Linked DNA regions of Stegostoma tigrinum. The protein of the gene in region 3 interacts with the protein of the main gene of each other region in a biochemical or structural test. Links are inferred from orthologs where the notes say so. Each region holds a gene or a part of one and is shown on either strand. Other genes may lie near its edges.

Region 1 (7,663 bases), on a different chromosome or scaffold from region 3:
TATTTTACCCAGTGCTCGACTGGTCATGGTGAAGATTGATAGTAGCAGAGGTCAAATGTTGGATAAACACTAGTAACCTTGTCCCAAGCCCCACATCACCCACAAAATTGCATAATTGCAAACAAAATAGGCTTCTACCATTCTTACCTTTCAGTTGGAGAGGTAACCAGTTTGTGTGGCCCTCTATCCTGTAGGAAGTCTTGAATTAACTGTGTGTGATGTGGCCCACTGGTGTCTCATTTAAGGTCACCTGTGGTTACTTCTGCTTCACAGAGTTTTCTGTCTGCAATTTGCAAGGACTAATGACATGGACGACATTGTCTTTGATCAGTATTTGAACTGTTAAAGCCCATCCCTGGCATATCGGACTGGATTGGAGCCTGCATTCTTGGCTAAAAAATGACGCGCTCAGCCCAAGCTTGGTGCAGCAGAATGTGGAAGCAAATGCAGGTCAAGCTGGACACTGTCAGTACCAGGCTTGGTCTGGTAGTCAGATTCACCCGCTTGACCAAACCTCCACATCTCTTTCTGCCTAGTGTTCCCTGGATAGTGTTTCTTCACAAAACCCTGGGCAAAAAAAACTGAAAGAACTGTAGATTGTGGAAATCTGAAACAAAATCAGAAATTGCTGGAAAAGGGTAATTGGATATGAAACTTTAACTCTGATTTCACTTCACAGATGCTGCCAGACATGCTGAGATTTTCCAGTAGTTTCTGACTTTGTTTCACAGAACCTCACCTGTGCTCAACCACCACATTAAACTGAATTTTCACATATCCATCTTACCACCTGGACCCTGTTACTATACCTTGGTGATGACCACCATCTTGCAAATGAAGTTGCAATGATGATTGTATCCTATCATTCCTCCTCCCGTAGCATCCCATGCTCTCTCATGCATTACCAGCTCTCCTCTTACATACTGAGATCCCCTCCATCCCCATCCATGTGCCCTCCACATCCCTGGCTACAGCCCACAATCCCTGCATTAATCCCTTACATCTCCCTCACTCCTCAGCCTATGCAGAGATGGATCACTTGACCATTACTGGTTCATCTGGATGTCTGGCTGTTGCTAAGCTCATGCTCTGTAAGACTGCACTTGACCATCTGCACTAGGACCCCCAAATGCTAGCAGCATCTCTTGATTCCCCTCAGGACTATTCCCCTTCAACTTTGAGACGTGACCATTTGGTTATAGAGATGCAGAACGTTTGCCATGCAGGAAGCTGGCACATTCTCCAGGTGTGAGTTTGATTTTGATCTGATTTATTGTTGTCACATGTCGTATCTGTTCACCCCCGACTGTTGACAAGGGTGACAAATTGCCTGGCTTTGTTTCTACAATCAAGTGCAAAACAATACAGAAGTACTGTGAGACTTTACATTGTTGTTCTTCAAGGGCAACATGTTGAAGACAAAACAAGGTAAGATGGGAATACCGTGAGCATCCAGGTAGTTGCTAAGCAAGCAAGTGCTAAGAGATGATGTGGCACCCCTGAGATGCAGCCTGGTCCAGTTTGCGAGATGGGTGCCTGTTCATGTGAGCTGTGACCTGTCAGTGATATTGCAATGAGAGCTGCAAGTGTGGCTTAAAGTGCAACATCACAGCACAGAGTCACATTGTAAGTGGATTAGGATGTATCAAAGGATGTGGACAGGTTGGCTATTGCCCCACCAACCCCCACCCTGCAAGCATCTGTGGATGTGGGTGGGAAAAGCAACTGCTCTGGGGCCTGTCTGAAATGTTGATGCTGGGTGTCCAGGTTGGCTGTCTGGAGGAACAATCGTGTTTACCAGGTGCACATTCTGACTTTTATTTTGTGAATTCTTGGCATTGAGAATTTGTATCATTCCTATCAGTTGCTTGGTAGCATAGGAACTTGCATATTAGTGTCAATGAGGGCAATATTAAGCAAAAAGCCCTATCGATAGGCATTTCACCGCTCCCTAACAACAATCTTGTCTCAATACCTGGCACGCTGTTGAAAATGTAATTTCATGCTCCCAATATTGAGAAAAGCCCCATTGGACTTCTCACTGAATTCTCTGAGATTCCTTGTCACTTCCCAAGTTGTTCAGGATCCAGTAGGATTCTGCCCGTAAAAACTAAAAAAAATTGTGACAGACGCTGTTACATGTAACAAGTCTGATATTGTTCAATTAACATGTGAACCAATTTCAGCACACAGCGAGGAACTTCCCCACATTCATGTTAGTTATAAATATTGCAAACCCAAACACCAGTAAATAGTTACTCATACATTCTTCTTTTACACTGCACCTGTTGGTGCATCATAGTTTCTCACGCCATTCTGTGCCTGAGAAATACATGCAGCTCCTTTGAATTTCTATGCCTCTGTCTTTAAGCTTTGCCGAATTTAAACATTCACATGTTGCTTTAAGGCTTGTTTGTTATTTCTCAATTGGGAATGAATTTAGGCGAAGAAATCTTCCATCCTTAGCAGGCTTAGACTACATGTAATTCCAGAAATGTAGCTTATCTTAACCAGCCCTCTAAATGGCCAAGAAAGCCTTTTGATTCAAAGACAGTTTGGGATGGACAATCAATGCTAGCTTTGTCAGTGATGCCAACATCCCACGATAACAAAAATAACAAAAAGACCAGCTTTCCTACAATTGGGAGTAATTTTGTAATTGTCTAACATAGAAATAAACAATAAGGTATATCTTATTTATGCATTAGAGGTCAATTATTTTCAATGTGTTATAGTGCACAGTTAATTCTTGTTTAGTATGGTTAACATAGAACAGTACAGCACAGAACAGGCCCTTCAGCCCACAATGTTGTGCCGACAAATCTCAGAAAGTTTATTAACTGCTTTTACTTATTTTAACTCATATTTAAGGAATATTTATGTGGTGCAGAACATTTGCACATGATTCATACTCTGCCAGGATGACAGCTGCACTATTGCAAATGAACATTGTGTTACAAAAGGAAAAATACTATATTGAAACACACTTTTTGTAATCTTTTGTCTTTGTTAAAGCCGCTCAATTTGTAATGCATGTATGCTCTTCTGGTGCACAGTTGTATGAACAAACTCTGTTTTCTTTTCATGGATGTACCTATTTTTGTACTCATTTTGTACGCTGTGTTTGTACAACCATTGCCCATTAAGGTTAGTAAGTTTTCCAACATTGTTTTATTGCCAAATGTCAGAACTGAATGATCTCATACACTAATTCTTCCCTCTTAAATCCCTGGTCTAATTTGGCACTTGTCAGAAAGAGTTAATTCAAAACATTGAGCTTTCCTCATGTTGAAGATGTAGGGTACTGTACTAAAATCTGATTTATCACTTGAATCATAGAATGCCTACAATGTGGAAGAAAGCCATTCGGCCCATCAAGTCCACACCAACCCTCCGAAGAACAGCCCACCTGGACCAAACCCCCTACCCTACCCTGTAACCCTGCATTTCCCATGGTCAATCCACCTAACCTGCACATCTTTGGATTTATTATATCTCTTCACTGGCTCCCAGGCTGTTTGTACTTTTTCCTGCCAAAATGTGCCAGTGTTAATATTTGCACACAATGTGTGAGGTTATGATCGTTGTCCACTGTTGTTTGATGCTGCAGTTCCTCAACTTCTAGTTCTTCTTCAGTCCTGCATTCATCACTACTGACACATGATGTAGGAGGGAAGGTCACGTGCTGGGAAAGTCAACGTGGACTCTTGTGGTCTGATAGCAGAACTGACTTCACATTGCATGTAGTTTATGGCGTTGATCATATGGTTCTTTGCTGCTGTTTTGCAGCTGTAACCATGAATGGGTTTATTTGAAGACACAAGCTTTCAGAATCTGGCTCCTTCCTCAGGTGTCAGTGAGAGGTGCCATCAGACACAATTTATAAGCAAAAGATCAAAGGGTCATAGAACTGATGCAAATGTGTTGAACAAACCTAAGATGGCTGTTAAATCTTCAATCGGTTAGAAAGGATTAATATGCAAATTCCAGAATGTCTTCCAAGTCACTGCCCTGAGATAACTAAGGGTTTTACCAGTATATCGGAGATGACATCTCAGGTCAGACAATGCATTTTAAGTGAGGGGGCCTTGTTTCGAATGACGCTGTGCATCAACACGGAGTTGGACTGGGAGCATGATGCCAAAAGCTGTGTCTTCAAATAAATTTGCTGGACTGTAGTGCCATACGATCTTTGACCTTGTCCACCCAAGTCCAACACTGGCACCTTCATGTATGTGGGTGGAGTGTCCCTGGAAAAGGATCATGAGTTCTGCCCGGCGTGCCTATGCTTCCGTGACTAGAGGGTACCTTAGGGACTACAGTGTACAGTAAATTCAGAAATTGTTGTGGTTTGTTTTATGGTTTGGTTTTTGATTATATTTTAGTGTTGCCCTGCGGTGCAATTAATATCAGAGCTGTCCTCAGAAAAAAAATGCTAGCTATGAGAATGAGAAACGCAATATATTTTGCAGCGTTTTTCAATGTACGTTGTTGCTTATTTCGAGAGATATTAAAATATGCTATAATTAAATTGTGGTGCGCTACCTCTGTAATGTTCAGGAGTGCATTAGCTCATGTAGGAAGGTAGCGCTCCACCCTCCAGGTCAGAAGGTGGCGCCGCTCTTGGCCTGCCCAGTGGGAGGATCGAACTCGTTGGCGTTGGCTGACTGACTGAAGCAATGTCGCCGAGGTGAAGGTACCGAGCTGTGGTCCGAATTGCGTGGCGGGTAGGGGAACTGTACGCCGGGAAACCTTATGGAGAAGCCGGCACCGAGAGGAAAAGGGAAGCCCGTGATAATATCCTTTAACATGGGGCAGATGAGCAAATTAGCGACTGGGTGTAACATAGGGCCGGGATCCTGGCAACTGAGGAACACAACAGAAACGAGCTGGGGCCCGGCCGGCTCAAAGAGCGGAGGCAGCGCTGGGCCCAGCCTGAATCTTCCTACCAGCAGCCCACTCATCGGTCCAGTGCACTTCTTCCACCACTGCAACCTGCCCACCACCTCTTAACCCTGTAAGATAGACAGTGGTTGCTGATCCGTGAAGTTTTTTTTAATTCGAGACTCTTTGGAGATTTTATCCTGAACGCATTGTGTTAGTTGTTAGAAACACTGTACTTCCAGAGTTTGCAGGAATGGTTTGTTTTGTTGCTGAGTTGGTGCTCTGCAATCTACCCTTTTGTGGTTTTGCTCTGCAGTGCTGATGCACGAGATCATTAGTTTGTGACGAAGACACTTCGTTGTCGTTTGTAAGCTTGCATATTTATTTCAAAGCTCTGCAGTTTTTGCGAAAGGCTTGTATTAATATAGTGTTGATATATGCATAGGTTAGTTAGGAATCTACATATGGTGTTAACCACGCCCACCCCCCACCCCATTGAATCCGAATGGCTCGCCTCTTGAGAGGACCAAAATGAACGGTGGTGGGCCGTTGCACTATGAGGTGCATCAGAGCTGAGCCTCATCCCAATTCCAACTCGTGTCAGTGTTTTTGATGGAATCATAACATAGCAAACGAGAGTAGGATTTCTGTTGTTTTCCTCTTTCAGCTTTTTTTATTCATTAACGTTGTGAATGTTGCTGGGTAGGCCAGCATTTATTGCCCATCTATTTTGCCCACGAAGCAGTTAAAATTCCAACACTTAGCTGTGGCTTTGGGGATGCGTGTAGTGTGCAGTGTCCTTCCTTAATGGACTTTAATGAACCTTATGGGTTTTTCCAACCATCAATAATAGTTTCATGAGTATCATTAGACTCTTAATTCCATTTTTTTCAGTTGCATGTGAGATCCCCGGGATATTACTTGGCTCTCCGGATTAATCCTGTGTCAAAGACACCACAAGACCATGACCTCCCCTTAAACAGAATTGTTTAAATTATTTGTTGTTCGTTCCAAGGTGTTAAAGCCAGTTGTAACTCTAGTTACCACTCATTTTGGATTGTCTAACCAAGCATGCACAGGCCTACTGATTTATGTAGCTTAACATAATCTCACATTGTGATCAATTGTTATGAAAATGAACTTGAATGTGTGATGATAACATTCTGACATTCTGATGCGGATAACAAATCGGACTATGAATTTATGGATTTGTTTCAGTCAGAATGTTGAAAATAAAAGTTTCTGAAATCATTACTCCAATACTACGATTGTTGCTACATTTACCACATTCCAAGCAGACCATTAGAAAGAAACAACTGGTTGTGGTTTAACCTAAGAGTCGTTGGGCGTCAGATGAGGGAAGAAGTTAAGGGGAGCCTTTCGTAGTAACCTCAGTTGGTGCAGGAATTGAACCCACATTTTTTGGTGTTAACTCTGTTTTGCAAACCAGTTGTCCAGCCAACTGGGCTAATCAACTTTATTTTTTTCTAAGACCCCTGTAGATTCCATTTCTCATCAGGCGTAAGTCTTCTTTACGCAACATGATTGCATTAGAAAGCCACATCAATAAGCCTTCAATTTGTACATAATGGTTCTGAAACCTCTTGGGTGTTTCGCTATTTTGACTTGCTGGAAGTATAGTAAAAGCTATCCAAACTGATCTCTCAGATCAGAAATGTAAATGACAAAAATAGGGGAAGGAAATTGAAGGAAAGAGTTTTTGGGATATATTCTGGAGTTATTCAAAACTCTAAAGGATACATGTTCAGGGAACTGCATTGTTAATAATTCTGAAGTCATAAATTTGATCATTAGGTTCAGTTTTCACTTTGTAAGAGAAGTCAGAACAGTTTGCGTTTAGCTATGTTATATATGATTTGGTGACTAGCTAGAATATGTTGTCCATGGAAAGTGGAAAATGGCAATAAATTTAGGATGATGGATATGGAGAAAAAGGGTTAAGGACTATGATCATCTATGTAAAAATCAAAAGAACTGCAGATGCTGTAAATCAGAAACAAGAGCAAAACTTCTGGAAATGCTCGGCAGGTCTGGCACATCTCTGAAGAGAAATCAGAGTAACATTGTGAATCTGGTGATTCTTACTCAGAACATTCTGAGGAACCTTCACCAGACCGAAACGTTAACTCTGATTTCTCTGAAGAGATGCTACCAGACCTGCTGAGCTTTTCCAGCAACTCCTGTTTTTGTTTCTGTTCATCGTGATGTTTTGAGCTTTGGTTCATTTGGATGGTCTGTAATTCTCTCTTTCAGATCTTGTTTGTGACAGTTTTTTTCTATTCAGTTCTCTATGTCATTCGTAAAATGCTGTAATCACGGCCAGGCATCTATTCAATTTTTGTTTGTAATTTCCGTGACCTTCTTTCATTTTTCTACTTCAGTCAAACCATTTTTGACTAAAATTCACTACACTTAATACTTGGTAAATCTTGCACCTCTAAGAGTAGCATTAATATTTTGCAAGTGGAGTGAGCATTTTTGTAATATACATCATGCTGTATGAAATACTTACTGAGTTAAAATCCAGGAGCTCCCTTCCAGTCAGCACTGTACATGGTCCGATGAGTGGTTCAAGAAAGCAGCTCACCACCACATCACCAAAAGCTATACAGAATAGGCAATAAATGTGGGCCTAGTAAGTGATGTCTGTATCCCACAAATGTATTATAAAAGTTGGATTGATAATATATTGTGAACCTGTTTACTGGCCTGTACAGATGTGGTTACAGTGATGATGCTGTCCCCTCTGAAGTTAGAA
Region 2 (7,868 bases), on a different chromosome or scaffold from region 3:
CTTCATTAATAACGGGACAGAGTCCAAGAGCAGGGAGGTAGTGTTGAACATGTTCAGGCACAAGTTAGATTTCAGTTGGAATAAAAGTGCTACACTTCAGGAATTTTTTGAGAGAGCACAGAGAAGTTTACAAGAATAGTTCCAGGGATGACACATTTCAGCTGTGAGGGTAGATTGGAGAAATTCATAGATTCATAGAGCACAGAAAAGGCCCTTCGGCCCATCGATCCTGCACCAACGTAACTACCCTCAGTGGTTAGCACTGCAGCCTCACAGTGCTGGGGACCTGAGTTTGACTCCAGCCTCGGGTGACTGTCTGTGTGGAGTTTGCACATTCTCACTGTGTCTGTGTGGGTTTCCTTCGGGTGCTCCGGTTTCCTCCCACAGTCCAAAGGTGTGCAAGTTAGGTGGACTGGCCGTGCTAAATTGCCCATGGTGTTCAGGAATGCATAGGTTAGTTGGGTTATGAGGGATGGATCTGTGTGGGATGTTCTGAGGGGTGGTGTGGACTTGTTGGGCCGAAGGGCCTGTTACCACACTGTAGGGATTCTATGATGCTATGACATTGGGACTGTCTTCCTTTGAGAGGAGAATTGATTGTAATTTTCAAAATCATAAGAGATCTGGATGGCACAGAGAGCAAATCTATTCCTGCTTTCAAAAGGGTGAAGAACGGGAGGGCACAGTTTTAAAGCAATTTGCAAAAGGGGTAAGTATGACGAGAGTAGTTTTCACCCTCCAAGTGATTAGGGTCGGGAATGTACCTCCTGGAAACGTGATGGAGGCAGGTTCAATGGAGGTATTGAGATCACAAAGTGCAGAGCTGGATGAACACATAGTCCAAGCAGCATCAGAGGAGCAGGAAACTGACGTTTCGGGCCTAGACCCTTCTTCAGATATTGTTTCTATTTAGATAATCATCAATATGTGGGGTTACAGGGGAAATTCAAGAGAATGGTACTAGATCATGACACTCATTAAGAGAACTGGAATAAACACAATGGGCTGAATGGCTTTTTCTGTCATTCTGTGTGGTTTATTTCAGCAAAATAAAGAAAACAAACTAGGAAGGATCACTTGGTAGAGTGAAGAACATTATAATATATTTAATATTTTGACAAGAAATAGTATTACTGGTATTCAGTTTTGATTTTAGAAAATGGTATAGAAAAGGTATTTGTTATAAATAGCATTAGTTGGATTTAGTCATGGGACTTTTGAGCAAAGCAGAAATACAAGAAAACATCTGCAGATGGTCACCATAAAACAACTATAATGCCTTGGTCATACACTCAAGAGACGGAAACTAAAACACCTGGTGCTAATGGGTAAGATTGAGGGTAGCAGAAAAAGAGGAAATAAAGGGGAAATACCCTGACAATTTAAGAAACAAAACAGCTACATGATTTGAGAGAGATAGTAGGAACTGCTGATGCTGGAGAATCTGAGATAACACTGTGTGAAGCTGGATGAACACAGTAGGCCAAGGAACATCAGAGAAGCAGGAAGGCTGACGTTTTGGGCCTAGACCCCCCCCCAGGATCTGTGTGAGCTTGCACTGAGGATTACTAGAACAGTGGGCTCAAGACGGAAATGTTGGTGTGGGAACACAGTGGTGTGGTGAAGTCACAGCTAACTGGAAGCTCGGGGTCATTTTTGAAAACAGAGCTTGGGTGTCCTGCAAAGCAGTCACCCAGTCTGTATTTCATCTCCCCAGTGTCGAGGAGACCACATTGTGGGCAGGGACTACAGTAGATGTGTTTGAGGCCGTGGATAGTGAGGAGGGAGGTGAGCAGGTAGGTGTAACACCTTCAGCGTTTGCATAGGATGGTGCTGTGGGAGAGTGGGGAGGTGTTGGGAATGGGCGAGGAGTGGGCCAAGGTGTCCCAGAGGGAACAGAATGCTGACAAAGGGTGGGGAGAGGAACATGTGCCTGTTTGCGGCATCCCGCTAGAGGTGACGGAGTTGGCGACTTACAATCCTTTAGATTCAGAGGCTTGGTGGTGTTGTAAGTGAGGACTGTGGGATCCTATCGTTGATGTGGGAGGGAAGGGAAGGGGTAAAGGCAGATGGGCCAGACATGGCTAAGGGTCTTTCAACCACAGTAGCGGGGAATCCTCAGTTGAGGAAAAAGCTGGAAATTTCCTGGGCTCCCTGAGGAAAGTGGCATCGTCAGAACAGACACAACAGTGATGGAGAAACTGGGAGAATGCGATCAAGTTTTTACTAGAAGCAAGGTGCGAGAATGTACAGTCCAGGTAACCAGGCAAGTTGGTGGGTTTCTAGCAGATGTCAGTGGCCAGCCTATTTCCCCAGAAATAGAAACAGGACATTAATGAAAGGAAGGGAGGAGTCAGAGATGGCCCAGATGAGGGTGAGGGTAGGGTGGAAATTGGAAGTGAAATTGATCTTTTTTTCCCAGATCAGGACAAGGGAGGGAGGCAGCACAGATTAGATTAGATTCCCTACAGTGTGGAAACAGGCCCTTCGGCCCAACAAGTCCTCACCCCCCCGGGAGCATCCCACCCAGAGCCATCCCCCTACAACCCACACACCCCTGAACACTACAGGCAATTTAGCATGGCTGATCTACCTAGCCTGCACATCTTTGGACTGTGGGAGGAAACCGGAGCACCTGGAGGAAACCCACACAGACATGGGGAGAATGTGCAAACTCCACACAGACAGTTACCCAAGGGTGGAATCGAACCTGGGTCCCTGGCGCTGTGAGCCTGCAGTGCTAACCACTGAGCCACCATGCCGCCCCAGGTGTCATTGATGTCGTTGATGTACTAGAGAAAGAATTGTGGGGAAGAGTCTAAAAATTGATAGACAGCCTGCTTGATAGACAGCATAATGTTTACCTGGAAAACTGGGTTTTCAGTACGTTAAAAGTAAAGGAGAAAAATTTTGGTTCTATAATTTAAAGTAAAGGCAGTGTTCAGTCATTGTTACTTTTAGTTAATTTGTTACAATAAATCTCAAAAATACAATCTCCTCATGTTGGCCTTTCATCTGTTAACTGGAAGTTCAAATTTCTTTTGTAAGAAGGTCAAGTGAGGTGGGAGAAGCGGATAGGTGGGAGAGAAGATGGACAGGTTGTGTCAGGTCAAGGAGGCTGGATGAGAGGGAGGGTTGGTCATGGGATGAGGCCGGACTTGGGGAGATTTTAAAACTGGCAAGGTCCACGTTTAGGCCATTGGGCTGTAGGCTCCCGAGGCGGAATATGAGGTGCTGCTCCTCCAGTTTCTGGGTGGCGTCATTGTGACACTGGAGGAGACCCAGGATGGACACGTCACCCAGGGAGTAGGAGGGGGAGTTGGAATGGTTCGGGACTGGAAAGCGTTGTCATTTGTCGTGAATCAAGTGTAGGCACAGTACAAAGCGATCTCCGAGCCTCTGCTTGGTCTCACCGATGTAGAGGAGGCCACATCAGGAGCAGTGGATGCAATAGACCACATTGACGGATGTGCAGGTGAATCTCTGTCTGATGTGAAAGGTTTGTTGGGTGCCTTGGATGAGGGGGGAGGTGTAAGGGCAGGTGTAGCACATCCTGCAGTTGCAGGGAGAGGTGCTGAGGGCTGTGGGGCTGGTGGGATTAGTGGGGAGTGTGGATCGGACGAGGGAGTCACCGAGAGAGCAGACCCTAAGGGAGGCAGATGGGGATGGGAAGGAAATATATTGTTGGTTGTGGGTTCAGATTGTAGGTGGTGGAAGTGGCGGAGAATGATATATTGGATACGCAGGTTGGTGGGGTGATATGTTAGGACAAGGGGAATTCTGTCTTTGTTTTTGTTGGGGGGGAGGGGTTGTGAGGGCAGAAGTGCGGGAAACACAAGAGATGCAGTGGAGAGCATTTTTGACCACTAAAGGGGTGAAGTTGTGGTCCTTGAAATAAGAGGACACCTGGGATGTTTGGGAGTGGAACACCTAATCTTGGGAGCTGATGCGGCGAAGGCGGAGGAATTAGGACTAGGGGATAACATTCTTGCAGGAATGTGGGTGAGAGGAGGTGTTGTCTAGGTAGCTGTGGGAGTTGGTGGGCTTGAAATAGATGTCAGTTTTGAGGCGGTCAGCAGAGATGGAGGCAGAGAGATCTAGGAAGGAGAGAGAGGTATGGCACTAACCCCCACCTCTTCCTATGCTACCCCGGTGACACCTCCCCCAACCCCTGGCCCTACCCTACGGGCAGCTCCATCAACCCCTGGCCCTACCCCGGTGACACCCCCCCAACCCCTGGCCCTACCCTGCCGGCACATCCCCCGACCCCACCCCGGGGGCACCTCCCCAAACCCCTGGCCCTACCCTGGGTCACCTCCCCCAACCCCTGGTCCTACCCTGAGGACACCTCCCCAAACCCCTGGCCCTACCCCGGGGACACCTCCCCAAACCCCTGGCCCTACCCTGCGGGCACCTCCCCCAACCCTACCCCAGGGGCACCTCCCCCAACCCCCGGCCCTACCCCAGGGGCACTTCCCCCAACCCCTAACCCGGTGACACCTCCCCCAACCACTGGCCCTACCCTGCGGGCACCTCCCCCAACCCCTGGTCCTACCCTGAGGACACCTCCCCAAACCCCTGGCCCTACCCTGCGGGCACCTCCTCCAACCCTACCCCAGGGGCACCTCCCCCAACCTTCGGCCCTACCCTGCGGGCACCTCCCCCAACCCCCAACCCCTGGCCCTACCCCGGGGGCACCTCCCCCACCCCCTGGCCCTAACCCGGTGACACCCACCCCCAACCACTGGCCCTACCTTGCGGGCACCTCCCCCAACCCCACCCCGGGGGCACCTCCCCCATCCCCTCGGCCAGGGGGCGTTAGTGCTCAGGCCCCTCCCTTTCTGGGTGGGGCTAACACAGCCGGCTGCTGGCTCTGGCAGGACAAGGAGGAGGCGGCGGCCCAGGCTCTGCTCAACGTGTCCCCGGCTCCGTCTGTCTCTCGGGCAGGACCAGGCCATGTTCCGCCGGATTTTGCAGCGGGTGAGTCTGAGGGATACGGGCTGGGATCCCGGCCCCGGCAGGCAGGCCCTGGGTACTCCTCCCCATCCTGCAGGAGCCAAGGCCTGAGTGCGGCCTGCGGCAGCATCGAGCCCCACCCGGGACGGGGCACGGACCACCCCCACCCCGACACACACACACCCCGTTCTCATCTCACACCCACCACCCTCACCCCGTCTGTCACTGTTCTCCCTACCCTCAACCCCCAGCCACCTCCCCACCTTTGACACCATCCATTTTGGGGTGGGGTCGCATAGCTCTGTGTTTGTGTCTAAGGGTTTTTCTGGGTGAGTGGGTGGTGTTGGTCGAGGGGCTGTTGTGGGTGGGCAGTATGTCTGAGGCGGGCAGCTATTTGGGGTGGTTCAGGGTCACTGGGAGGATTGGTTGGGTTGTGATCTTGTGTGAGTCTGTGTGTTCCTGAATGTGGGAATGGGGTTGGGTGTGTCTGGGAATAAATCTAATTGAAACTGTGTCAGAAAACAGGCTTTGTCTCCTTTCATCAACTATCCTTCCCAATTCACTCTGAAGTTAGTGGATTATCATTAATACTGGGCAGGGTTGTAAATCCCGATCCCATAAGCCATCCATCTGCTGAACGGGGTTAAAACTGCATTCTGTGCCCTGGTGTATTTTCTGTATTTCCTTGTTTTAAAGGTTGTGTTAGATTTCTTGTGCAATGTTATTTTTGTCTGTTGTCAGTTTTCTGTGTTTGACAGTTCTGTTGCTGTCTGGTGTGTTAGACATATTCCAGAAGAATGAGACTGGCTTCCTACAGTGGCTTGATGTTATTTTGGGACCTGAGACACATGCTTCCAGGAGTGTGGTATTAGCAGAGAATATATTCTCTAAAAGAAGCTCATTTGTTATGGCACCTACACTCAGGTCCTGCTCGGTGTCCGTCTCTGCTCTCACCGTTATTGGTCTCTCTGCAGATCATAACAAATGTCTCCCAGAATGTTTCTATTCAGTCGCTTTATTTCACATTTGCTCAACACATGGCAAATTATTTACCAGCCAATTCCTGGTGCCTCTTTACCTTGTGTGTGATATAGGTGAGTGGTAAGCATCTTGATTCTGGGTCATGTTATAGACCCAATACTAAAGCTGAGATAAAGAAACTTGGCTACCAGTGCATTACTGGGACTAGACATGCCTTGGCAGAGGGTCACAACTGAGGGGTGGAGATTTGGAGGGGGTTTTGCTTTGGCTTTTTGTCTAAGTGTTAGGGGTGTTGTGGGACACTATCCTGGGGGGAGTTGTTGTGCTGATACTCTGCCCTGTTTGGCCCAACCATCTTCAGCTGCTTCCTCAATGACCTTACGTCCATCATAACATTAGAAGTGGCGATGTTTGCTGATAATTGCACATTATTCAGCACTATTTGCAACTCCTCAGATACTGAGGCAGTCTATGTTCAACAGGATCTGGACAATATCCAGCCTTGGGCAAAACAAAAAGGTGGCAAGTAACTTTCATACCATGCAATTGTCGGGCAATGACCATTACCAATAAGAGACAATCCACCCACTTTCCCTTGACATTCAATGGTGTTACCATCAGTGAATCATCCGCTCTTCACGTCCTGGGAATTACGATTGATCGGAAACTCAATTGGACTTGCCATATAAATACAGAACAAGTCAGAGGCTGGAAATACTGCAATAAGTAACTCACCTCCTGAATCCCCAAAGCCTAACCGCCATCCACAAGGCATGTGTCAGGAGTGTGATGGAATACTCCCCACTTGCCTGGATTAGTGCAGCTCCAACAACACTCAAGAAGTTTGACACCATCCAGGATAAAGCATTTCCACAATATGACAAAATTGTTACAGCGCACGAGGAGCCCATTTAGCCTATTGTGCCTGGCCTGGTTTTGTTACCTATTGCCTGACTCTTCTCCATATCCCTGCACACCATTTACATCTCAGTAATCATCTAATGACTTTTAGAATGCCTCTATTGAACCTGCCTCCATCACATTTCCTGGTAATGCATTCCATACTCTAACTGCTTGCCCCCAAAAAAGTTCTGTCACATCATCCTTGCTTCATTTGTGCATCCTTTTATATCTAGTTCCTCGCAATTTTTTTTAGCAGGAATAGCTTCTCCTGGTCTACTCTGTCTAGTCCTTTCATGGTTTTGAGGACCTACATCAGAAATCCTCTTTGCTGCCTTCTCTCAAAGGAGACCAATCCCAACTTCTTCAATCTATCCTAATAACTGTAGTTTCTCATCCCTGGATCCATGCTTGTAAATAATCTATGTCCTACCTGCAGTGCATTCACATCTTTCTTATAATGTCCCTACAACTGTACACAGAATTCTGGATGAGGTCTATTATGTGTCTTGTGCAATTTCAACATTACCTCCCTGTTTTTGTACTGTATGCCGCTATTAGTATAGCTGACCGCAGAGCTTTATTAACTGCAATCTCCAAATGGCCTGCCACTCTCATTGATCTTTTGATAGATGTGTATGGGTCCCTTTGCTTATCCACTCTTTTAGGATTGTATTGTTTTTTACTGTTTTAGAATGTTCTTCTGACCAAATCTTTGAATATTCTACTGAACAAAAACACTTTTGTCCACTTTTTTGGACAGAAGCAGTTCTAACAACACACGGAAAGCACAGCAACAGTCAGGAACAAATTGCATGCTGACTGTACTTCACCCACTTTAAAGGCACTCCTCTGTCTGGTGGTAGCATTGTACTTGTTAGGGCTCCTTCACCTGCTAGCCTGCAACCTTAGGCCCTGAGAAGGTACTAAATTAGATTACTTCTGAGGAAGGGTTGCAAGACCCGAAACATTAACTGAATTTTTCTTGACAGATGCTGCCAGACCTGTTGAGCCTTTCCAGCAATTTCTGT
Region 3 (7,785 bases):
GTATTAGCAGAAAGCAAGTTTGTTTTTCTTTCTGCAGTTGCTGTAATCTGTGACTTCTAATTAGTAAATCAGAGACCTTTGTACATGTGATGCAGTCACTCCGTATCTTCTGATCAGCCCAAGAACCATCTCAGCGAACCTTGTGAACAAAGACCATTAAACTACCTTCCCAGTCATTCCCACAACCCATAACACCCGCTTCTTTTTCCTCTCTTTATAACTGTCAGTATGTGTGTGTAGATGGCAAGTTTTTATGGGGATTAGAGTTCCAAATAGTAGAATTATGTACTAATAGTTCATCATTTGTTACTGATGACACGAAAATAGGTGGAAAAACAAGGTGCAAGTTGGGGTGGCACGGTGGCTCAGTGCTGCCTCACAGCACCAGGGACCCACATTCAATTCCAGCCTCAGGCAACTTTCTGTTGGGAGTTTGCACATTCTCCCTGTATCTGTGTGGGTTTGCTGCAGTTTTCTCCCACAGTCCACAGTGGTGCAGGTTAGGTGGATTGGCCACACTAAATTCCCCACAGTGTTCTGGGAAAAGTAGATTAGGTGGGTTACGGGGTAAGGCTCTGGGTGGGATGCTCCTAGTGTCAGTGTGGACTTGATGGTCCAAAGGGCCTGTTTCCACACTATAGGGATTCTATGATTCTAAGAATTAAGAAGTTTACATATGGATCTAGATAGGTAGGTGAAGGGGGCAGAACTTGGCAGATGGAATTTAACGTGGATAAATATGACGTTGTCCAATTTGTTTGAAAGAATAAAAAGGCAACTTATCAACTAACTGTACTGAAAATTCAAAATACTTTAGCGCAAAGGAATCTTGGTATCATCATGCATAAATTATAGATATTGTTTATGCAGGTCCAGCAATTAATAAGGAAAGCAAACAGAAGTTTAGCATTTATTGCTAAAGGAGTAGCGTATAAAAGTAGTGAAGTGTTTCTGAAACTGTACAAGGCATTAGTGAGACCACGCCTGGAGTACTGTGTGTAGTTTTAGATCCCTTACCTGAGAAAGGATATAATTGCATTTGAGGCAGTCCAGAGAAGGCTCTCTAGATTAATTCTAGAAATGGAAGGCTTGTTTTATGAGGGAGAGATTGAGCCGTTTAAGCCTATGCCGGCTAGAGTTTAGAAGAATGGGAGGAAATCTTATTGAGGAATATATGATGCTCAAGGGAATTAAAGTGGAGAGAGTTGTTCCCCTTGTGGGACAATCTAGAACAAAACACGATAATTTTAGGCTCTGGGGTCGCAGATTTAAAACAGAGATTAAGAAGAAATAGTTTTCCCAAGAGGTCATGGATTTGTAGAATTCATCATCCTAGAGTATGGTGGATAATGGGCCACTGGGTAAATTAAAGAAGGGGATGGAGAGATTTTTACATAATCACAGGTTACGGGTTTCAGGGGAGACAGCAGGAAAGTGGGATTGAAGCCAAGATTAGATCAGCCATGACTGTTTTCAATGGCAGAGCAGGCTAGATGGGCTGAATTGCCTGCTCCTGCTCTGAGTTCTTATGTTCTACTGTGCTTGAAATAAATATTAATTTTTGTTAAATACAACAATCTGGTCCATGATTTCTATCAATCCTGGTTATGCAAGTCAGATACATTGGAGGATTCTGTGTACATTTTCAAGTATTAACTTTTATGACATCTCTAGAAATTGTGGGGCTTGATTCCCAGAGCACTATCCCAGTGAGATAGACCAAAGCTGCTGGAGTGCTCCAAAATGAAGTACATGACAGTATTGTATGTGGATTCGAGATGTGCCATGGCAGTGCAGTCAGGCTGGTGTGTGCCCAATGTTTCATTCCCTCTCATGAATGTTTCTGTTGTGTGGATCTATGAGGTCCAGACAAGACAGCAGATTCTGGAATTGGAAGCCAATGTGATCGACATGCATGGAATGTCCCAGCAGCTGCATTTGAACCCTGGCCTGATGCCAATAACCATGGATGGGGTCAGTGTTAAAGATGGAGACCTGGAGTTGCCAGGCACCCGACTGTCACATTGGGAATTATTGCTATCTCGATTCTATCCTGCAGTTGGAGAGCTGCTTTTAATAAGGCAGGTGTAGGTAATAATAAAATGTCAATTTATGCAAATACGCTTTTCACTACTCATGTGCAGGATGCTCATCTTGCAAAACAATAACCTGTTTGCTTGGACGGAGAATGGGAATTATTGCTGTCAATACCAGAATCTCCTTCTTGCTGATTGCACCTGATTTTCTCAACTTTCTTGCTAATGCCCATGTTGTTCAGTGACTGGGAAGATTCTGTCCAAAGAGGTTGCCTAAAGATATAGTAAGGGTAAGTTGCATGTGGTGGATGTATTAGAGTATGAGGTTATTCACCTTTGTTCTCTGTATTGAAGAACTGAATATCTTTAAAAGGTATGACATTTAGAAATGCTGATGTTCTGAAAGACTTAGGAAGCTTACACAATAAACATGCAAAGTTAGTGTGCAGGTACAGCCAACGATTAGAAAAGCAAATGGCATTCTGTTCTTTATTGCAAGGGGATTGGAGTTACCAGAAGAAATAATTCTTGTTCAAATTGTACAGGACTTTGGCAAGAATGAAAGAAGGCAAACTATTCAAATTGAATACAAATGATTTATTTATTTATTTGATGGGACAGCACACTTAAAATTTAAGAGATAAGTTTCCTTTGATCAGCCATAAATTGAAAGAACTGAACAACATAAATTGAGGCGATTCACGCTATTTTCAGAAACAAGACCATAAGAACAGGGCTTTTCAGCCCCTCAAGTCGGCTCCATCATTCAGTAGGATCTTTGATGATTCAATGTTCCTCACATTCACTTTCCTGAATTTTCCCCATAACCCTTGATTCTCCTACTGATCAAGGATATATCTATCCCAGCCTAAAATACACAGGACTCTGCACCCACACATCTCTTTGGCAAGGAGTTCCAAAAACTCACAACCCACTGAGAGAATAAATTTCTCTTCATGTCAGTCTGAAATTGGCACCCCTTAATTCTGAAAATGTACCCTTGACTCTTCTAAAAGGGTTAATACCCTCTCAGCATTTATCCTGTCAAGACCCTTAAAAATGTTAAATGTCTCAATGAGATTACCGCTCATTCCTCTAAACTCCAGTGAGTAGAGTTCCAATCTCTTTAGTCTTCACTCATAAGACAATCCTTCCATACCGGGGATTACCTAAGTGAACCTGCTCTGAACTGTTTCCCTTGAAATGTATCTTTTTTTAAATGAGGGGGTCAAAATTACTCACAATACTTCAAATGTGACAGCCTAGCCTGGAACTAGGGAAACTTCAAATGCCACCAAAACTGGGCTTTATGTAGATGTGTCATAACTTTTTTGGTTTTGTACTCTGTACCTCTATTGATATAACTCAGGATTCTTTTTGTGTTCCTAACTTTCCCTGCCTTCTTCATTGATTCGAAACTCCCAGGGCCCTCTACCCCCGTATTCCCTTTATAATTATTCATTTCTCCCTGTTTTCTTCTACCAAAATGAATCATGCACACAGAACTTGGGAAGTCTGCCAGGGGGTTTTGGAATAGTTAAGTCTATGTAACAAATCCTTGCGTGGACAAGGGTTTTAGTTCCAAACAAGTCAGATGAGGGTGGAATTGATTAATGTTACAGAAGTCAAAATTAGCCATTGTAGAGGTTGCACAAGAGTGAATGATAAAGTTTAGGTACAGATCAGCCATAATTTAATTAAACATTGGAAAACCAAAGCCATTGACTTCAGATCCTCTGAAGTCAGCCATTCCCCAACTACTGACGTCATCCTTTCCATGGCAATTGTGAGAGAAAGAGCTGAACCATTTTGCTACCTTGGTGACACACTGGATTCTGTGCTAAACTTCTGATCCCTTTTCCTCACCATCATCAAGATCACTAATGTCGACCCACGGAAGATTGTCCATCTCTGCACTGCCACAGCACATCTGTTGCTGAAACTCTCTTCATTATTACCTCTAGCTTTGACTATTGTAACAGTCTCTCAGTAGATCTTCCACACCCTGCACTCCATAAACGTGAGCATTTCCAAAATTCTGATGCCCTCATAACAAGTCACTTTTATCCATTTGACTCTTGCTCCATAACAGCATGACTTTAAAAATCCCTTCTTTTCTAATGTTTCCTAATTCCTCTTGTGTCTTACCCCTTTGGATCTTGATAACCTCCTTTGGGACAGTTTACCTTCTAGATTTATGAGCTCCTTCAAATCAGTGTCTTATGCATCCTCACTTTCCAATAGTTCAATATTGGTGAGCATCTGATCATCAGCTTCAATCCTAAGCTTTGGAATTCCATCCCTAAAATTCTCTGTCTTTTCCATGAACTAACCCCTTGTGTCCTTTCCATTTGACCAAACTTTTCTTCATTTGTTCCAAGATTTCCCCTTATGGCTTGGTGTCAAGTTGTGTTTGCTAGCACTCCTGTGAAACGCCCAGCAATTTTACACAGGTACAATATGAATATAAGTTGTTATTTGCTGGAGTGATATAATTCCAGATAATTGTGTCAATGTTCCCTGTGAAGAAAGTGAATACAACCTTTTAGCTGCATTCTTATCATGTTTGGAATTTTTAAATTTTTCTCTTACATCATGGTTTTCAACAAAAATAATTAACTTTAATAGCTGTGAGAACTGGAAATGGTTAACATGCGGATAAGAATTTGATATTCTGTTCTTTAAGTGCAGTACAGCGAGAATATTCTGCTGTGTCCCAGCAGCTAGGCACAGTGAAGATACTGTGCTAGAGATAATGGGAACTGCAGACGCTGGAGACACTTTGTTATCTCGAAGATACTGTGCTGTAAGCGGAGTGAGGATATCCTGCTCTTCAAGTGACTTTGGGAGAGGATTGTGAGGAGGGCTGTGGAAGAAGTTTGAGTGTCACGTGATGAGCCAGAGCTGAGAGTTGTTGCAGAAGTTTCTGTTCATTTGGAGGGGAGCTGGTTGCTTGCAGCGTTATAGGAGGTAACGGGCGAACAGCGAACTGGGTCAACCCAGCCTGCAAATAGCATGACACAACCCTTCAACTGATTATGGCTATTCGAGAATTAAAAGTCTGTCTCCTTGGGGTGAGTAAGATAGCCTGAGTTCATTTCCCATTTGAGTTCTGTGCACACCTCAAACAAAAAAAAGCCTGTTACTTCTCTTGGTGTCTAGCTGCTGGGACACTGTGGATTTCTGTGCGTCTGTGTGTGTGTGTGTGTGTGGTTGAGTTGATATCTCTGCCGTTTCTCGCTGTTTCGTGTCTATCTGTGGCCGTCTTTTTTACCCTGTTGGAGACTGGACTTCTTCCGAAGTCTCAGACACTGAAGCTTCTCTCCCCGTTGGCCCCCATCCTGCAATTGGAGCGTCTGCACTCGGGCGATTTGTTGGAATGCTGCGTGTCTCCAAGGAGGAATTCCACATCCACAGTTCCTGCAGCATGACAGCAGCTCGCCTTACCCCCAGATTCTTTCCCTTCATTATTTAAATTAAAAAAATAACTTGAAGGCAATTTAATACAATTCCGGAGCGTAGGATACTCACTTTTGAAACAAACTTCCCCTTTTGTTATGTTACCAGATCAGAAATCTGCTGCCGTTCTGAAATGGCTGTGGAGCTGCAAAGTGGGATTCTGCAAGTCTCGATCGTGCAAAAGTAGGAGGAATTGAAATCATTTTGGGCACTTTGGTGAGAGTGCAGGGAACTAGTCCATGCTGATGGGGTTCACGGTACATGAACCGCGAGAGGGTTTCTGACTGGTCCTTGTATTTCCAATGAAGTCACTGCCAAATGTCTGTTTTTGCTAAAAGGACAAACTGGTTTAATTGCATCTGAGTAATTATTCCGTTTGACTTCGCTTTGTATTGCGTTGGCAAATGGTTGCCCAATGCAGATGTTCACTGTGTGAGCATTGACTCCCTATGAAGCGACCCCCGCCAATCCCAGTCCCTCTCCCTGTCTCAATATCCCTACAAATGCACATCCCCGGGCAGTTATCCAAATTCTTTTTGAAATGTTTGATCTTTTTTGCTCCCACCGCACTGTGTGGGTAGAACGTTCCAGGTCAATCCCACTCACTGGATAATTATGAAGAGGTAACAAAAACAGAATTGTTGGAGAAACTCGGCAGTGTCTGTGCGGAGAAAGCGGAGTTAGGGTTTCATTTCTGGTGACTCTTCTTCAGAAATGGATTCTCTGCTTGTGATACTCTCCCATTTCTGAACAAGGATCACTGGACTTGTAACGTTAACTGTGCTTTCTCTTTTAGCACGAGCTATCAGACCCGCTGAATTTCTCCAGCAATTTCTGTTTTTGTTCCAGATTTCCAACTTTTCCAACATTCGCAGTTCTTGGTCTTAAATTATGAAGAGGTGAAAAGTCGCCTTGTTTTTTTTTGAAGATATTTACTTTTTATATATTTTTAAAAATAAAACCTCATTAATCTGCATACCACTTATCCAATGGAATGATTATCCTGTTAATGTACAGAAAGTTTTCCCTGCAAGTACACCTGACCACATTGTGGTCACAGTCAAGTAAGCTCACTTTTTTAATTGTCCTGGAATCCAGATCTGTGGAAGGTTCAAGGTGAAGATCAATTTGGAGCTGGCTGGAAAAATCAAAATGAGGATATAATATCCAGCTCCAAGCTTCAGCTTCAATACCAGGTTCCCCAGCTAAAATGAGCTACCTTACACTGTCAAAGAACATTTAGTTTCAGGTAAAATGTAGTCAATAATTTCTGTTTTCTTCCACATTAAAAAAAAACTTCAGCCGTTATCAATTTAGATTCACTGTGAGCCATTGAGTTGAATGATGGAAGGGTTGAATGTTTAAATCCTGTGTTTCAATGTAATGCACGCATGGCAAAAATCAATTTTAAAAGTGGAGCAGACCATGCTTTCCCTTTAGCTGTGGCATGGTAATGCGCCCCATCACTTGCTTGTTATGATGGTAATAAGCCACGTTGCCTGCAAAGTGATATTCTCTTGGACTTCAGCAGCTCCTCTTCCAAGTCATTGATAAAATGGCTGGGGATGGTGGTCCTCACAATTGCTTTCAGTCCTTCTTTTGGGAAGGTATCTGTTCTGAGCCATATGTATATGACCATTGTTCTTTTCATTTGTTTTTAAATCATGGAGGTCCTGTAGAGGTGTAGGTACGCCCACACTGCTGGTTGCGAGGGAACTCAGGATTTTGACCCAAAGACATAGAAGGAAAGGTGATATATTTTCAAGCCAGGGAGCCCGTGACTGGGAGGAGAATTCACGGGGTATGCTTCCTATGCACCTGCTGACTTTGTTATTCTAGGTGATAAGAGTTTTTGGGTTTTTATTGAAGGCATTGGTGAGTTATTTTTATTCATTCATAGGATGTGGGGGCTGCTGGCTGGGCCAGTATTATTGTCAACTCCAGGTTCCCCTTGAGAAGGTGGTGCTGAGCTGCTTTCTTGACTTGCTTCAGTCCATTTGGTGCAGATAGAACCCCAATTTTACTAGGGAGAGAGCTCCTAGATATTGATCCAGTGACACTGAAGGAATGATGATATATTTCCAGATCAGGATGGTAAGTGACTTGGAGAGGACCTTGCAGATGTTGGTGTTGCCATGTATCTGCTGCCCTTGTCCTTCTTGATGTAGTGGTTGTAGGTTTGGAGGGCATATTGTAAGTAGCCTTGGTGACTCTCTGCAGTGCCCCTTGTAGATGGTACACACTGCTGCTACTGTGACAATATTGGAGGAAAGAAAGTCATTGGGCAGCG

The links. The genes of interacting proteins can lie anywhere in the genome.
Region 1: the proteins of rab31 (region 3) and ocrl form a complex in vitro, tested with the Homo sapiens proteins (2 studies listed by BioGRID and IntAct, with this or other methods). The link is inferred for Stegostoma tigrinum from reciprocal best matches to the Homo sapiens genes RAB31 and OCRL.
Region 2: the proteins of rab31 (region 3) and eea1 form a complex in vitro, tested with the Homo sapiens proteins (2 studies listed by BioGRID). The link is inferred for Stegostoma tigrinum from reciprocal best matches to the Homo sapiens genes RAB31 and EEA1.

Annotation. Positions count from the first base shown.
Region 1 is NC_081368.1:44,350,989-44,358,651, reverse strand, and holds the start of ocrl (inositol polyphosphate 5-phosphatase OCRL), read left to right. Parts: upstream 1-4,649; 5' UTR 4,650-4,755; coding exon 4,756-4,797; intron 4,798-4,860; exon of another isoform or gene 4,861-5,017; intron 5,018-7,663. UniProt on the Homo sapiens protein: Catalyzes the hydrolysis of the 5-position phosphate of phosphatidylinositol 4,5-bisphosphate (PtdIns(4,5)P2) and phosphatidylinositol-3,4,5-bisphosphate (PtdIns(3,4,5)P3), with the greatest catalytic activity towards PtdIns(4,5)P2.
Region 2 is NC_081378.1:49,458,728-49,466,595, reverse strand, and holds the start of eea1 (early endosome antigen 1), read left to right. Parts: upstream 1-4,854; 5' UTR 4,855-4,956; coding exon 4,957-4,980; intron 4,981-7,868. UniProt on the Homo sapiens protein: Binds phospholipid vesicles containing phosphatidylinositol 3-phosphate and participates in endosomal trafficking.
Region 3 is NC_081358.1:114,882,596-114,890,380, forward strand, and holds the start of rab31 (ras-related protein Rab-31), read left to right. Parts: upstream 1-4,775; 5' UTR 4,776-5,074; coding exon 5,075-5,110; intron 5,111-7,785. UniProt on the Homo sapiens protein: The small GTPases Rab are key regulators of intracellular membrane trafficking, from the formation of transport vesicles to their fusion with membranes.